3 linked regions of the Arabidopsis thaliana genome follow. The protein of the gene in region 1 interacts with the protein of each later gene in a pairwise test. Each region holds a gene or a part of one and is shown in the gene's direction. Other genes may lie near its edges.

Evidence for each region. The genes of interacting proteins can lie anywhere in the genome.
Region 2: the proteins of AT5G50915 (region 1) and CZF1 interact in a two-hybrid assay, tested with the Arabidopsis thaliana proteins (one large-scale study listed by BioGRID).
Region 3: the proteins of AT5G50915 (region 1) and AT3G16160 interact in a two-hybrid assay, tested with the Arabidopsis thaliana proteins (one large-scale study listed by BioGRID).

Annotation. Positions count from the first base shown.
Region 1 is NC_003076.8:20,709,165-20,714,811, reverse strand, and holds AT5G50915 (basic helix-loop-helix (bHLH) DNA-binding superfamily protein), read left to right. Parts: upstream 1-2,347; 5' UTR 2,348-2,559; coding exon 2,560-2,889; intron 2,890-2,984; coding exon 2,985-3,110; intron 3,111-3,219; coding exon 3,220-3,285; intron 3,286-3,394; coding exon 3,395-3,463; intron 3,464-3,554; coding exon 3,555-3,638; intron 3,639-3,744; coding exon 3,745-3,855; coding exon of another isoform or gene 3,856-3,876; exon of another isoform or gene 3,877-3,973; coding exon 3,974-4,048; 3' UTR 4,049-4,087; exon of another isoform or gene 4,088-4,221; 3' UTR 4,222-4,709; downstream 4,710-5,647. Other genes in the region: AT5G50910 (uncharacterized protein), read left to right, coding at 5,530-5,647.
Region 2 is NC_003071.7:16,769,616-16,775,727, forward strand, and holds CZF1 (zinc finger (CCCH-type) family protein), read left to right. Parts: upstream 1-2,381; 5' UTR 2,382-2,638; intron 2,639-2,913; 5' UTR 2,914-2,921; coding exon 2,922-4,715; 3' UTR 4,716-5,119; downstream 5,120-6,112. Other genes in the region: TBL28 (TRICHOME BIREFRINGENCE-LIKE 28), read left to right, coding at 5,896-6,112. UniProt on the Arabidopsis thaliana protein: Involved in salt stress response. May positively modulate plant tolerance to salt stress.
Region 3 is NC_003074.8:5,472,373-5,477,767, reverse strand, and holds AT3G16160 (Tesmin/TSO1-like CXC domain-containing protein), read left to right. Parts: upstream 1-2,420; 5' UTR 2,421-2,677; coding exon 2,678-2,814; intron 2,815-2,921; coding exon 2,922-3,017; intron 3,018-3,154; coding exon 3,155-3,323; intron 3,324-3,430; coding exon 3,431-3,661; intron 3,662-3,748; coding exon 3,749-3,846; intron 3,847-3,935; coding exon 3,936-4,039; intron 4,040-4,130; coding exon 4,131-4,402; downstream 4,403-5,395. Other genes in the region: AAE13 (AMP-dependent synthetase and ligase family protein), read right to left, coding at 125-210, 337-508, 830-1,015, 1,129-1,298, 1,544-1,715; ASPGB1 (N-terminal nucleophile aminohydrolases (Ntn hydrolases) superfamily protein), read right to left, coding at 4,735-5,229, 5,329-5,395. UniProt on the Arabidopsis thaliana protein: Plays a role in development of both male and female reproductive tissues.

The DNA of each region.
Region 1 (5,647 bases):
TTAGAATTTTTTTCTCTTTGTTACTATTTTATTGCATTGTAGGCGATGATATGTGAGTAAAAGGTTATCTCTCGTATCATGCGGATAGAGACTTCTATGAATATCTATTTCGTAGACGTAACCGTACGTTAATTAGTCTATTGCCAGGTTGATTTATTTGTATTCTTCTTAGTAGAGAAAATCAATACTTCACTAAACAAAATGGAAATAATATGGTAGAAGGACATAAAACTGTTTTGATAATAGAGAAGAAAACATATAGAGATGCAACATATTTGAATAACAAATATAATGAGATTAAGCTAAATAAACGAAGTGATTAATAGAGATCTATAACAGTTATGAGATCAACCTAACTTACTTCATATATCTTACAATCGTCACATAATTCACTAGACTTATCGGCCAGAAAACGCCGTAAAATGGAAGTTGTTTCTTTGCATTTGTAAGTAATGTTTTGGGATATAGGATGGTAGAAGAAAACTTTGAGTCAATTTCTTAGAGTGAAGTAATGTACCTAATCTATCTCGTAATTCAAGATTCATTTTCATATCATCCTTTCGTAATTAGTCTCGTGCACTTATTCTTTTCTTTAAATGTGATCTTGAATATTCAAAACACAGTACAAATAATAGATCAGCCGCTAATTAAATGCGTTAGATAAAGAATAAAGGTTTTGTGCAAGTACCCTGATTTGAAAAGAAGCAAAAGAGAGATATTGGTGAAGAAAATATGATGCCAATAAATGTTTATTCCTCATCCGGATGAAACGTGCATAATCTCTATCATCTTCGGGTTATGATAATTAATTACAAGCTCATGCGGACCTTTGACATGTAAATTATGTCCAAAAGAACAATCATAATGTTTTCTTGGTTCCTAATTAGCATGTTTTCTTTCTGCTCTAAACTTGATCTCAAAAAGAAAATCATAATAGAAAGTCCATAGATCGTATTCGTACGTATACAATTGATAATTAATTAATCGTAGATTCGCTTAATGTTTTTGTTAAGTACGTGTCATAATAATAATTTATAAATAGAAGAAAGGAATTATAATAGTCTAAATAATTAAGGACATGGATTGTGATAAATTTTGATGGTCAAGTACTCGTTTTTTCGATTATTACTATAAGAGTACCCGATTATATCAAAACAAAATGGAGATTTATGATTTTTTGTCTTCTATGCATACCCAACGGTATCATGGGATTGGACTTCACACCTTATTCACAATTTTTTTTCTTTTGTCCTTTTCTGAAAAGGAAATTTCCTATGTCGATCCAAAGTGGGAAATGGACAAAAGTTTTTATTTTCTCTAACAAAAATGGACAAAAGTTTGTAGTATTATGGTATCCACATAGAGATTATTATTGAGAAGATCACGCGGCATTACATATTTAGTTCTAAATGTACAGTATTTTGGATAGGGTAATATATCTCTCTACTATCTAGTCTTTAATTATATCTGACTCGTTAAACTGTGCCTATATATTGATCTATATATTAGCTGTGGCAAAGGTTCTGCAATCTGATAAAGTAAAATTGATTGATAAATGATAAATATTGCTCTTTTGGTGTACATTAACTTTTTTGATATGTGTATTATAGGTCCGACCCTCTTATAAAGTAAAACAAGCCATAGCTTTAGGGCATTTCTAAATATAGTTCGTTGTTAGGGCGACAATATTGAATGCTTACGTGAGTGTAGTTGATGGTCAATACAAATACATCAATTGGTTTTAGAGAACATTTTCCTCGAGTTCGACTGCCCACGTTGGTCGTTCTTTCGTTCATTTAATGGGTTTAGTTGATTACTTCTTTTTATAGTACATTTATTGTTTTCACGTTATGCGCTATTATATTCTTATAAAAAAAGTCTTAATTAAATGATATATTGATCAGTATTTGTCTTGTTTAGTTTTACAACATGGTTGTATTACAAATTATGTAGTATTTATAATCTTATATTTCAAAACATAATTTATTCTCTAAATAACATAAAACTATGGAGAATACAAATTACAACAAAATTTAAAATTATAAGTTCTTACATAAAGTAATTTGAAACAAATTTTCTAAAATATCATGATACCCATAGAGTAATAAAACTAAACAAAATAAATAGACAAATATTCCATGAGTTTGCATTTGAAAAAAAAAAAAAAAGAGAACATACGTATCTAAGAATGATGAAAGATCATTAGTCACCTAATTTTTGAAATTCAACATTATTTACTTAAATTTTCATTTTTACTCTTCCATGGTTACTCAATGCAATTACTTAAATATACAATCTCGATATTATATATAAACATATCATCTAACATAAATTACCCGCCGAAATATGGTAGTAATTTCTTCTCAAATAAAAAGGTATCTTCAATATACAAGTGGTCCCTAAAATACTCTTTCTTCTGTTTCTCCTTGTTTCTTTGAATAGTGAATACAAAAGCAATTCCTTATATAAACCACTTCAAGTCCTTAATCTTCTCTCACAAAGAAAAAACACTATCTCTATCGACAAAGATAAGAGAACTCAGAAGCTTCTACTCTTAAAATGGCAACTTTCTCTTATTTCCAAAACTACCCTCATTCCCTTCTTGATCCTCTTCTCTTCCCTACACCTCACTCCTCCATTAATCTCACTAGTTTCATCGATCAAAACCATCTCTATCCACTACCAAACATTTCCACAGTTGAAGACATTTCCTTTCTTGAATATAATGTTGACAAAACTGAAAACTCTGGTTCAGAGAAACTGGCCAACACAACCAAAACAGCAACCACCGGTTCTTCTTCCTGCGACCAGCTCAGCCACGGACCATCAGCCATCACCAACACCGGAAAAACCCGTGGGAGGAAGGCCAGAAACAGTAATAACTCCAAGGTATGTTAAACCAACTTGTAATGTATCATCTATCATTTATGTGATGGGGTTGGGATAGTCAAAAACATAAATGTTGGTGTGGTTTGGTGAATTAGGAAGGAGTAGAGGGAAGAAAAAGCAAAAAACAGAAGAGAGGAAGCAAAGAAGAGCCTCCAACAGATTACATTCACGTTCGAGCTAGAAGAGGCCAAGCTACTGATAGCCACAGCCTTGCTGAGAGGGTATTTTAGTCATTTCTCTTAACATTTTAATTTTTCTTCATTAATCATGTTTTCATAAAATACATTTTGATTAATATTTGATTAAACTTATATATATATATATGTAAAGGTGAGAAGGGAAAAGATAAGTGAGCGGATGAGGACTCTGCAAAACCTTGTTCCGGGCTGTGATAAGGTCAGCTAGAGTAGAGACAATTTTATTTAGGAGAATTGATAATGGTTTAATTTTATAATGTTTCTAGAAAATGTTATTAATTGATTAAATGTGACTTGAAAACGAATAGGTAACAGGGAAGGCCCTCATGTTGGATGAGATTATAAATTATGTCCAGACCTTGCAGACTCAAGTTGAGGTGCATTTTCTTAATTATTTTGTTTTTTCTTGTAACATTTTATGTTAAAACTAATGTTTCTAATTCATAACTTTTTTTTCTGTTTCATTAGTTTCTCTCAATGAAGCTAACTTCTATAAGTCCGGTGGTCTATGACTTTGGCTCCGACCTTGATGGCCTCATACTTCAATCTGAGGTATTTCATTTACACAATGTCTCTTAATCCGGTTACCGATAAAACCAAGTCATGTATCCCGAAAAGCCGGTTATGGATCTTAAGTAGATATTTTCTTGATGGACAGATGGGTTCTCCAGAAGTAGGAACGTCTTTTACCAATGCAATGCCAACAACTACTCCTATCTTTCCTTCACTATTGGATAATTCTGTAGTTCCCACACATGCACAAGTTCAGGTTTTTCATTTTTTTCTATAAGTGATTATTTCAGATAATAATTATAATAAGGAGAATGAAGATAGATAAGAATCAATTATTGGAAGATTAATAGATAGTGATGTGTTGCTTAATTTAGGAAGAGGGAGAAGAAAGAGAGAACTTTGTAGACAGAAGTGGGTTCAACAACAACAACTTCTGTTCTTTCCCTTGATAAAATTACATGTCGACACAAACACAAAAGCCTGCTTTCGTGAGTTTCTTCTGGTCTTGTCTCTTCAACTACCTAATTATTATCATTACAATTATTTTTAACATTTCTCATATAGAAATTGTTAAAAATCTTGATGTGGGTTCGTAATTATTGCTATCGTTTATTGGATGTAGGTTGATTTAATCTCCTCCCATTTGCACGGAGGGAATAAAATCTACGTAAACCAGGTTTTGTAAAAGTGGATGTACTTATTTGTTCCGTTTATATAGTTTGAAGAAATAAAGTATTTTAGAGACTTAAAAAGCTCATTTTCTCTATTTGTCCCGAGAGTTTCAACATAATCATTACATAAAATCAATGGATAAATTCATACTAAAAGAGAATGGTATATGAGGCAGAGGCAAATTCGATGGAGGAAAGAAAGACATATAAACTAAGAAGACCTATCAGCTTAATCATTGTTTTTTTTAATATAATTGAATTTTGATGTATCCACTCATTAATTTTATAAGTTCTTGTATTTTCACCACTTCTGTCTTTCTGATTTCTTGCACCAAAGTTTCCTTTTTCCTCCAATCTTTTTAAATGTAAACTGTTATCCACACACTCATGTTATATTTCCTATATATATAAAAATGTTCGAGGGATAACTACTTATGCATGTATATAAATCTAAATGATTCGTTTCCTGTCAATTTAGTTGGCTACAAAATTATGTCAGAAGAAAAGATTAGATTTCCCTTCCTGAGAACACTTTAATGTACCTGTTGAATAGTTTGGTCATGCTTTTCTGCTCTCACTTGTCACACATTGATAACTCCCATTCCTCTGTATCTGTCCTTTCACAATACATATGTTATAAGTTTTATTTTAGTTTAGAGTATGTCTAATATATATATACCAAAATTCTTGAAAGAGATATTTGATACTGTTGTATTTGTAAATATGATTTGTTGGTTGTCTAACATTTTCATGAGGTGGTAATTAACGATTCCTTGAGTTATTCAATCCTAAATTGCAGGATTTATTTGAATACACCTAAATAAATTATATGCAAGAGCCTTATGTATATTATCGTTATTCAGTTACATACATATTAATAACCTCTTTTATTAACGAACCTAGAATAGAGATTTTTTTGTATGATTTTCATTTCTTGATGTATATGTCAGGATGTATATGATTTGTGAGATTACTCTTCACAATTCAACAATTTGAGATTTTAGTTAAATAAGTAAAATTTAATTGATATCATCTCTTCTAAGATTTGTTATTGGACTATGGTTCAAAATTTTCACTTTTTCCCTTTTTTATTATTATAAATATGATATGTTGCTAGATGAATTGGGTCATCATTTTCTTGCAATTGTTTCGTCATGAATACGATTTTTTTTTTTTTTTTTAATCGAAAATGCATATGAATTTGGTCCCAAGTTATTATACGGCAAATTGATCAATCATAAAATACAATAACAAAGGAAATGCTAAGTTTCTCGTGGCACATAATTGTATCTGCTAACGGTTTCATCCTGAATCAATGGACAACACATTTCGTAAATCTTATGCACATCATTTCACCTCATATGTTTATTTCAAAGT
Region 2 (6,112 bases), on another chromosome or scaffold:
TTTTTCGTTTTCCATGATATCGATAACTCGGTCCACAATCTGATGCAATTTGCTGATGAGTTTTGGGAAATATTTTGGAGGCAAAACACACAAAATTATTTCACTATAAAAATGTTACTATAATAATAAGTTGACCATATAAACAAAGAACCAAAATTGACCCCAAGGAGCGTCGCATAGTCTTATTCTTCAGCAAATCTACGACTCGACTTACCCAGAAACATGATGACACTTTTCTTTTGGTAAACATGATGTCACGAAAAAAAATTACACACATAATCTATAGATAGTTAGAGGATGTGTTAGAATTCACATATCAGTTTAATTGGTAGTATATGATTTATATGCTGATTATGATTGAAAACTATCAGCCTGTTTTAAGGTAATTATGAGTTATGATGGGTACTTATGAGTTTGACCATATATAGGATTAGGTTGTTAAAATGCATACATACAGGTTATGTGTATGTTTATGTTTATATTTTCATATAAACAACAACAAGTACACTTTCTTGTAATTTAGTGATTTAGATTTCTTAATCAATTTGTGTTTTTTTTTAATTGTGGAGTAGTATGAATTGAGTTCACAAAATAGCAAATTTGTGACTACGAAAACTCCACGGAAGATATATAGAAGAATCGAAGAAAAGTAGAGAATAATGAGGAGTAAGTCAAATGATCAAATCCACGGACTAATCCATTATGTTTGATGTGACGAGAGAAAAATAAGTGAATATTTAATACTATATACTATAGTATATTTTTGCAAAAGTTAAAGGTGTTGCATTAATTTTTTGATAGCAAACAATTAAGGAAATGGGGGAAAAAGTGTAAGCGGGCGGCCAAGTGAAGACATTCTCTGTCGCCCACCCAAACACCAAAGAAGAGAAGGCGTGCCTCACTTTCCCTCTTTCTCCACGCACTTCTCCTTGCCCGTGTTTCTCACTCGCTTTACCCTAATCACTCCATTACAACTATACCTACAAGACCATTAAGATAAGCTTATCAATAAGAACACTGAGATAAAGTTGATCTCTATTTACGAATTGTTTACTACCAATAGATTTTGATTCGTACCAATCTTTTAAAGTATGTATGTATTGTTTGAATAGTAGTTCTACCGAACCAAAAATATTTTAATTGATCATGTAAAATATATTTAAGATTGTTGTGTGTTAATTATAGTGATCTTTAGAAAAAAGAGTAGCCAACGTGATAATGAAAGCGCGTGTTAAGAGTATTGAAACACTCACACGCTTGTGGAGGTTACCTGCTAAGTCGGTCGATTTGATCGATGGTGGGTCTTTTACACATCCCCAACGTCATTTACCATTTATTCAACCTCATATATTATGTTCTTGATGATGAAAAAGAACATAATATTTTTTTTTTTTTTTTTTTTTAATTTTTTTTTGATGATGATGAAAAAAAAAAATATTATGTTCTTTTTTAATTTCTTTTTAATATTTTTGACAGTAATTTTATTTTAATCTTATTTTGTTACAAATAGTTTTTAATACCTTAGGACCTGTTGGAACTTGGAAAAAAACAATATTTTTTAATATCTCAGGATCTTTGCCCATACATGTTTTGGGCACCCATGCGTTTATATGAAAAACAGCATGCAGATGTAAAATATAAACAACTGTAGATTTGGTCAGATGTTAAAATTTAAATTATGTCTTTTGAAATGTGACCTATAATTGTCCAGATAGATATACATAACTATTTAGTAATTGTAAGTCTATTTCCTGTAATGTATTCAGCTAAATGCATGTAGATAATCTGATATCACATACATCTATAGCCATATAGAGAATGCATAGTAACATCAACAACATATAAATTTTGGGCTATTTTCTAATGAGGGTTTTTGAGTATAAATGGATCTCCTAAAACGAGTTTACCGGATGGGTAAGGTAGTAGTTCCCTTTGAGTTTTCTTTCTGCTTTGTATAATTAAAACAAAGTAATTGATTAGGAACTTAGTAGGTCCTAAAGAGAACCAACAATGGTTTCGGTTATAAATAAACCAAATGGGTACATTATCCTTATATCTAGAAACTTTAACCAAAAACAAGATGTTATCTAGAAACAATAAATACATCCGGAATGAGACTTTTTCTTATGTAAGTCGATACAATGGGGGCATTGTTTTATTTCCCTTCAAATGAACTTTGCTTTTTGATCATTTTAAAAAGCCATATTGAAAAAATCAATGAGATAGGAAGATAGATATTATAATATTCTTTTTATAAAAAAGACAAAAAAAATACACTAAAACAATTGAATAAGAGTCAGCAAAACAACGACGTCCTTACCTTTTTTAAAAGTTTCCCAGTTTTGACTTTTGACCTAAACCATTTCCATGTAGAAAGAGAGCAAAAAACAAAACAAAACAAAGATAAGTAAAAAATAAAAATGATATAAAGAAGGAAGAAGAAGACCGAGAAAGGTAGACGAAAGAAAGAGCGTACCTTCCTCTTTCCTTCTTCGTAAAAACCAAGTTCCTTTTAAAAGGAGCCTCTCCTTTCTCATTTGATCCTTCTTCAAAAACCCCAACCACTTCTTCTCCCCAAAAACCTCCAAAGTTTCAATCTTTACTTCTCTCTTTTTCTCCAAGTTATCTTCTTTTCTAGGTATGTCTTGATTCTTTCTCTCTCTGTTTTTTCCTATTTCATTCAGGATTCTGGGTTTGGTTAAATCTTTAATCTTTATGGTTTTAATGGCTTGATTTTGACGAAACGGTCGTGTAATTATTCATTACTTTGCTTAAATTGGGGATTGATTTTGTGTATAAAGAAGAATCTTGAAAATGAAAAATTGAAACTTTGAATCGAAAGAACTCAATTTGCGTTGCTCTTTCTCATTCTTTGTTGCTTTCTCCTAAAAGTTTTTCACTTTTGAATCACAGGAAGAGATATGTGCGGTGCAAAGAGCAACCTTTGCTCATCTAAAACCCTAACAGAAGTCGAATTCATGAGGCAGAAATCAGAAGACGGAGCTTCCGCCACGTGTCTCCTCGAATTCGCCGCCTGTGATGATCTTTCATCGTTTAAGAGAGAGATCGAAGAGAATCCATCGGTGGAGATTGATGAGTCAGGGTTTTGGTATTGCAGACGGGTCGGGTCTAAGAAGATGGGTTTTGAAGAAAGAACACCACTTATGGTTGCTGCTATGTATGGAAGCATGGAAGTGTTGAATTACATAATTGCCACAGGAAGATCCGATGTGAACAGAGTTTGCAGTGACGAGAAAGTCACTGCTCTTCACTGTGCAGTTTCTGGCTGTTCTGTTTCTATCGTTGAGATCATCAAGATCTTGCTTGATGCTTCTGCTTCACCTAATTGTGTTGACGCTAATGGGAACAAACCGGTTGATTTGTTGGCTAAAGATTCTCGGTTTGTTCCTAACCAGAGTAGAAAGGCGGTTGAGGTTTTACTGACCGGGATTCATGGTTCGGTTATGGAAGAAGAGGAGGAGGAACTGAAGAGTGTTGTGACTAAGTATCCAGCTGATGCATCACTTCCTGATATTAACGAAGGTGTTTATGGAACTGATGATTTTAGGATGTTTAGCTTTAAGGTTAAGCCATGTTCTAGGGCTTATTCACATGATTGGACTGAATGTCCTTTTGTTCATCCTGGTGAGAATGCAAGGAGGAGAGATCCTAGGAAGTATCCTTACACTTGTGTGCCTTGTCCCGAGTTTCGTAAAGGGTCTTGTCCTAAAGGAGATTCGTGTGAGTACGCGCACGGTGTTTTCGAGTCTTGGCTTCACCCGGCGCAGTATAGGACACGGCTTTGCAAAGATGAGACTGGTTGTGCTAGGAGAGTTTGTTTCTTTGCTCATAGACGGGATGAGTTAAGACCGGTTAATGCTTCTACTGGTTCTGCAATGGTTTCACCAAGGTCGTCTAATCAGTCTCCTGAGATGTCTGTTATGTCTCCTTTGACGCTGGGATCATCGCCAATGAACTCTCCTATGGCTAATGGTGTTCCTTTGTCTCCAAGAAATGGTGGTTTATGGCAGAACAGAGTTAATAGCCTTACACCACCACCGTTGCAGCTTAATGGTAGCAGATTGAAGTCGACTTTGAGTGCTAGAGATATGGATATGGAGATGGAACTTAGGTTTCGCGGTTTGGATAACCGGAGACTTGGTGATCTCAAGCCATCCAACCTCGAAGAGACTTTCGGATCATATGACTCAGCTTCTGTGATGCAACTTCAATCACCAAGCAGGCATTCTCAGATGAACCACTATCCGTCTTCACCTGTGAGGCAGCCTCCTCCTCATGGATTCGAATCTTCAGCAGCCATGGCAGCTGCAGTGATGAATGCAAGATCCTCAGCGTTTGCGAAACGCAGCTTGAGTTTCAAACCAGCTCCAGTAGCTTCTAATGTCTCCGATTGGGGATCACCAAATGGGAAGCTTGAGTGGGGAATGCAAAGAGATGAGCTGAACAAGTTGAGGAGAAGTGCCTCCTTCGGCATTCATGGAAACAACAACAACAGTGTGTCACGCCCTGCTAGAGACTACAGTGACGAGCCAGATGTGTCGTGGGTGAACTCACTGGTGAAAGAGAATGCACCAGAGAGAGTGAATGAGAGGGTTGGGAATACGGTGAATGGTGCAGCGAGTAGAGACAAGTTTAAGCTGCCGTCGTGGGCAGAGCAAATGTATATAGACCATGAGCAGCAGATTGTGGCATAAGAAGCAGAAAGAAAGATGTGGGATTTATATTGCTTTTGTCTTCTGGGCCTCTCTACACAGAATCTAACAAATCTGGCAATAATTCTTTGATTTGTGTTTGACCCATAGTTTGGTTACTAGTATATGTTTTTTTATGTTCTTTTTTTCTTTGTCATTCTCTTGTCCTTCGTGACACTATGTAATGATTAAAAGCAAATAATTGATGCATGAGTTCAAATGTTCTTTGAAGGATCCATCTTATTAGCTTTGTAATTGTTGTGATATCTTAATCTTATTGGTTACGTATTTCAAGTGCTTTAGAAAAAATGGGCCTAAGAGATTTTGGGGAGCTTTTTTGGCTTGTTATTTTCCTCACATATACAACTTGCAGCTTATTATTTATTGAAAATCTTTTCTTATCTAGATTCAAAAAGATTTCCACAAATTTTAATTAACGACCCCTGATTACAAAGAAACCTACCCAAAGTCAAATTTTGTCCATAATTTCTATCGTGTAGGACACTAAAAAGTAAAAACTCATACCTAATTGGTTTCTAGTAGAAACGGTCAGTGCACTATCTTTCTTTCAGGTTATCGAAGGAAAAAAGATCAGTAGAGTAGCATCGTTAATAGTAGAGTTAAGAAAAGCATGTAACATGTGGTCTACTTTTTATTTCACAGAAAAATACCATACCATGTGATAATGTCGCATAAAATCTTTACTTTTCCGGTGTTATCGATGTGTGTTAATGCTAAATACCCGAAACAATTTCAAGACTCAATTTTGAACTATCGAATAGAATTCTTCTAAAATGGATGAGGAAAAAGTCGCTGGTTTAAGTCGTGCGACCCTCAAAATAAAGTTAGGAATATAATCACAAGCTGCATACTTTCATTAATCAATTTAAAAAGAAACGACTAACTTTATTCTTTCTTTGCCAAACTCCATAATTAGTTAAGTCTATGAATGAATGTGAAGAGAGAGTTTTACATTTAAAATTGTAAAGGGCAAATTATAGAAAATTCTGTGTCCACCAATTAGGCTTGGCTCTTTAACTCACTGTTCTCAATCTTTAATAATCCCCATCTTCTTTTCTCCTATATGATTATCTCTCTTTCCTTCGTGCGTGTTATCTCTCTGAGCCACATGCCGACACTTACATAACTGTTGACCAAGTCTCTCTTCCTTCTTTATCAAATCATGCAACCTTCAAGAACAAGAGTTTCATTTTTTGAAACAGGAGAGACCATGAAGCAAAGAAAGAAGAGTTATCTCTCAATCTTCGTGATCTTCTTCTCTCTTTTCTTCTTCGGGATCTTCATGTACAATGACAACCTCAAATCCTCCATTGCTGACTTCACATCTTCGAACCCATTCTCTAGTTCATTTGTGGAGTTGCCGCCGGATGAGTGTGATC
Region 3 (5,395 bases), on another chromosome or scaffold:
TGCAACATATACAAGCTTCTAGCTTATAAGGTACATCATAATTTAGATACATGCAGACCATTCTATTGCAGGTTGGGTAGATTTGAAACATGACATGCGCTACATAAGGAGGTCGGATATATACCTGGGAATTGATGCTGTTGTGAGTATGAACAACTCCTTTTGGCTTACCAGTTGTACCACTAGTGTAGACGATCAATGCTGGATCATCTGCACAAATAAAGGCTGAAGTGATGCAGAAAATCCAGACCAATAATTGCTTGAGGTAAGGTGGCAAAAATTAAAAGAGCAGCCTTCATTATAAGTTCACCATCTCAAGTATATTCAAAAACTTACCTAGAAACTTTCCTTCTGCTTCAAAACTGTCATCCTGAAACTGATTGCAAGCAACAGTTTCCGAAGTTGAGTTAACAACAGGAGGAATAAGATGAAATCGAGCACCACTCTTTGCTGCGATGGTTTTCATAGTTTCACTATGGTCCTCTGTGCTCAATAACAGAGATATATCCTAGAAACCGAAGACAACGAGGTTAGATCCCAAGAAAATGTTAATCATTTTTTCTCGAGAGTAAAAAGAGCATAAGGCACACTTATTTTGTGAAACTTGAATGTGGTAGAAAACAGAGCAAACCAGAAAACTTCTGCCTTTTAGAATATTTTCTACTTTGTTCTACAGAGTACCCTTTTTAGTCTATGGAAAAAGACCTAATGCTAGAAAAACCAAGAGCTTGGATCAAAATTCTGAGATCACAAAAATAAGATCAAGAATACCTAACAATTGAGCCGAAATTAAAGCACAAGGAAATAGGAAGGCAAGTAGATTCCATACCGAATCATTCATGACATGTAAGAGTTCAGCCTCAGGATAGCTGAGTGCAAGTGGAACCGCTACACCACCGCTAAACCATGTCCCCAGGACTCCTGCAACAAACTCAGCTGAAGGTTTTGCCACAATTCCGATTCTAGCTCCTTTTAGACTACCAAACCCTTCATACTTCTTAGTTTCTTGACCTCCCTACGAAATTTATAGAAGACAAAAAAAGTCAATAACCATAAAGCTGTAAACAAACTGTGTGATAGCTTCAAGTAGTAGATATAGTAGCTACAATTTCAAACCAAAAACCATACATTTGTCGTATCATCTTTTAAGAACAATTTAGATATCCTCAAAGCAGACGATGTTAGCTGGCCATAAGAGTAACTCTTTCCATCGGCTTTAATCGCAATCCTATCACAAGAATTAGACGCTTCTGAAAAAGCTGCTTTAAACACTTCCATGAGTGAACCAGACTGTGAAGCTGCAACATTTTGATTACATAGATAAAATTCAGATTAATATATAGAAACTACATGTACAAAAAAAGAACAGATTGAGTTCCTTGGAGATGCTGCAAAATTTTCAATATAAATTCAGATCAAAACAACAACTTGTTCAGGTTTTTACGGATCATCAATGTTACTATATGGAAAGCACGAATCTTTAAGACATTTCGTCGAACATGTAACATGCAAAAACCAAACAAAGGTAAAGAAGAAAACTTACAGAAGAGATGGTTAGATTGGAAGAATCGAAACCCAGAATTGGAAAACGAAGTAGAAGCTGGGTGGGATCGAGGAAGAAGAGGAGAGGAGAGAATAGCGTAGGAGTTGTGGTTGAGTCGATGGTTAATTAAAGACAAGTAGTTGAAACTCTTTAATGTTGTCGTAGCGGTCATTTTTAGGTCTGGTTCGTTAAAAGGTTTCGACTTTTTTCGCAAGTCGTACAGTCAAATTACGTAGCCGTTCTTCTTAGGTGGTGGTTGCAATCGCCAAAAGAGAGCCTTCGTGTCGATCATGAAATAGCGACTGAAGCGTTTGGCGACTTTGATTCAGTGGAGAGTTTGGCACGTGGCGTGTTTTGATGATTAAAAGTGAGTGACAGGCGATAATGGGTTATTCTTTAATGACGCTTTATTAGGCATTTTTTTAAGGTTAATTACTGATTTGCTTTTTCTCATTTATTTGTGTTGTGAATTTCTTTCTAAGTATATTTACACAAAATTAAAGACCATCTGAATATTGCATTTTGAGTGATGTGATCCTGACCGTTGATGAATAACAATTGTGGTTAGCTAACATCTTATACATATGCTTTGATATGCATTGATTTTATTATTGTGAAGTTTTGAACTCTAGAGGAAGATTCTATTTAATGCCAACATGCAATTAATAACTTTTTTTTTATCAGTACCTTTTAAAGGGAGTGTACATCTTAGGTCTCCGGTTTGAGCATTGGAGAAGACTAATTTTGTTATATTAAATTATTAATCATGAAATTAGATTTCTTTAATCCAACTCCATCTTCGTCATCAACACATCATCATTCCCTCCAAGATCACTCTCTCTCGCTTTTGAATACCTTCGCGTTGTTCACAGAACCTTTTTGTTTCTTAGAAAACCCCTTGGAGCTGGCCAAAAAAAAAATCGAGAGAGAGACAATCATTCATCGTTCCGAATTAGGATCCAGCATTCCATTTTTGTTCTGATATCTGTCAGCCATGGCGACTCTCCGATACACTGATCTGATCTGATCTATGAATCGACGCTTCTCTGAGGATTCCTCACCGTTCATGCTCTAATCGGTTCGCCAAATTGAGGAACTAACTTGTGTGGCGACTATAATGTGTCAAGGACCGATATGACAGGAAACGCAGATTCCGGCAAAATCGCGACAGAGAAAGACCCTAGGAAGCTCGTTTTCACCAAATTGGAGGTATCTCCCGTCTTCCGAGAATCTCCTGTTAAAGAACTTCCTCTTTTTCCTCCGATTTCTCGGTATTGTTCCAGTTTCTCTGCCAATTTTCACTAGAGATGCTTCTCGTTTGAGTAATTTCAATCCAAAATCTACTCTCTGATCTCCACTGGTCTTGATTTTGAAGCAGAGAGCATTCAGAAGCAAAGGATAAGACAGATGAAGAAGGCATTACTTCGAGGAAACACAAAGGATGTCGATGCAAGCAGTCCAAATGTTTAAAGTTGTAAGTTCATTTCAGGATCCAAGAATTACTTAGTGTTAAGCTGATAGAGATTTGAGTATAATGTTGAATAGTGAGATTTCTATTATCTGCTGTAGATTGATGCATTATTGGATATTTGTTTGACGCTTGGTTATTAGGTACTGTGACTGTTTTGCATCAGGAGTGGTATGTACAGACTGTGATTGTGTTGATTGTCATAACAACTCTGAGAAATGTGATGCTAGAGAAGCAGCTATGGTGAATGTACTAGGTCGCAACCCAAATGCCTTCAGTGAAAAGGCTTTAGGTAGCCTAACTGATAATCAGGTATGTTCTTGACACCTATCACTTTTGTAGGTTAAGCTTCAAAGAGGTATATTTCACATCCTTTTTCATTTGTAAGTATCTGGGATGTTCTGTGTTTTGTATTGTAGTGTAAGGCTGCACCTGATACTAAACCTGGACTGCTTTCGAGAGGCTGCAAATGTAAAAGAACCAGGTGTTTGAAGAAGTACTGTGAGTGCTTTCAGGCTAATCTTCTGTGCTCAGACAACTGTAAATGCATCAACTGCAAGAATGTTAGTGAAGCGTTCCAGCCTCCTGCATTTTCTGCTCACAATTCCCCACAAGTATACCGGAGGAGAAGAGACCGAGAGCTAACTGAGGCAAGTGAAATATACTACTTGCTTCATAACATATATGCACTTTTGGGTTTATCTCCATAAAACTCATTTTTCTGTCCGGAATAGCAGTGGAATTCTTGTCCAGCTCCGTTATTTTCGATACCTGACAATTCCATTCAAAATGCTCTGGGTTCCCCTATGTCTTGCTCTCCTAAACTTCCTTACAGGTTCGATTTTGCATTTCCTAAAATGATAGTTCATCTTCCTTCACCTCATAATCATAAATATTTTAACTGAATTTTCATTGTGCTACTAGAAAGAAAAGGTCCCTCATGGGATACACCTCTACACTTCTTCCGGACTTGGGAGATTTATGCTCACTTCTCGTTGCAGCGTCAGAATCTGCTACAACAACTGCAGGTATATCTGTAGTCTCTTACAAAATCTACACTTTACTGGATCTACTATTCCTTTGGCTTCATCAACATACTTCCTTTAAAATCTCACTTAGAGGACCAGAACAGGATATTTACAAAGCCTGATGATAAGGAAGCCATTGAGCTGTCAAGTGAGTCTGAGAGTCGTAATGTGGAAGAAGAAATACAATCACGTGGAAGATTGATCGAACTGATAGATGTTCAATACAATGGAGAAGAGGATTCCCAATGTAAGACCAAGACAAGTGTCAATGAAACAGATATATACATGGAGCAGGAAAGGGCAGTGCTTGAAACTTTCAGAGACTGTCTCCAAAAGTTCATCAAATCGAGACTGGAATCATAACAGGTAATAATTCCATCTCATTTTGATAATCCCTCCATCCTCAAATAAATCCAATTACTGCACTTTTTTGTTGCTATTTATGACAGGTAAGGTTCATACAAGAAACAGAGAGCTGAACCATAGTTTCTTGATTAGGCATGGAGCTGAGACAGATCAACAATTTTAAACACGAACTAACCATTTGAAACCGCATTAAACACAAATCAATATAGGACTGGTGATAACGACATAACTAAATTTACTCCTCCAGCTTTATGATAATGAATAACCAAATTAATAGAGCGATGACTGATTAAATACTAGTAAGACATTTTCTTAATCTAAAATATTTCTCACTCCCAAATAGCAACCTCCATGAATCCATCCTCAGTTGCACATCCCCTGAACATCCCATTAGAGTTAAAACCACAAACCACCTCTCCTTTATTCGAGACAGCAATGAGTCCAGCGAACCCTTCGTCAAGTCGATGCTTGATGACGTAATCAACCGCTTCTTGGAGGTTAAGTCCTTTATACTCCATAACAGCTGACACATCACGAGCTAGGGTTGCTCTTATAATGGCTTCTCCTTCTCCGGTACACGACACACCACAAAACTCCGACGCATACGTCCCGGCTCCTATCAGCGGCGAGTCACCAATCCTTCCCATCATCTTGTTCATTAAACCACCCGTGGATGTCCCGGCGGCACAATGTCCTTTCCCGTCAACCACAACGCACCCGACTGTCTCCGGTGCGTAAATGCTGATCGGAAGACCGTTCATTTGGATTGGACTGTCGGTCGCAGCTGCACCGGCACATCCCATCGGCGGAATCCGGTAATCAAACTGGTGAGAAAGCAAAAAAAAAGAAAAAGTTGAGGATACAAAATAAAGAAAAACGTACGATGAATAAATGGACGGTGGAGATTTAAGTCAAAAACGTACCAAGATGGAGTTAGCTTCCTTGGCCAACTTGAGCATTCCTACGTTGTCGTCCGTGACAAAGTACTCG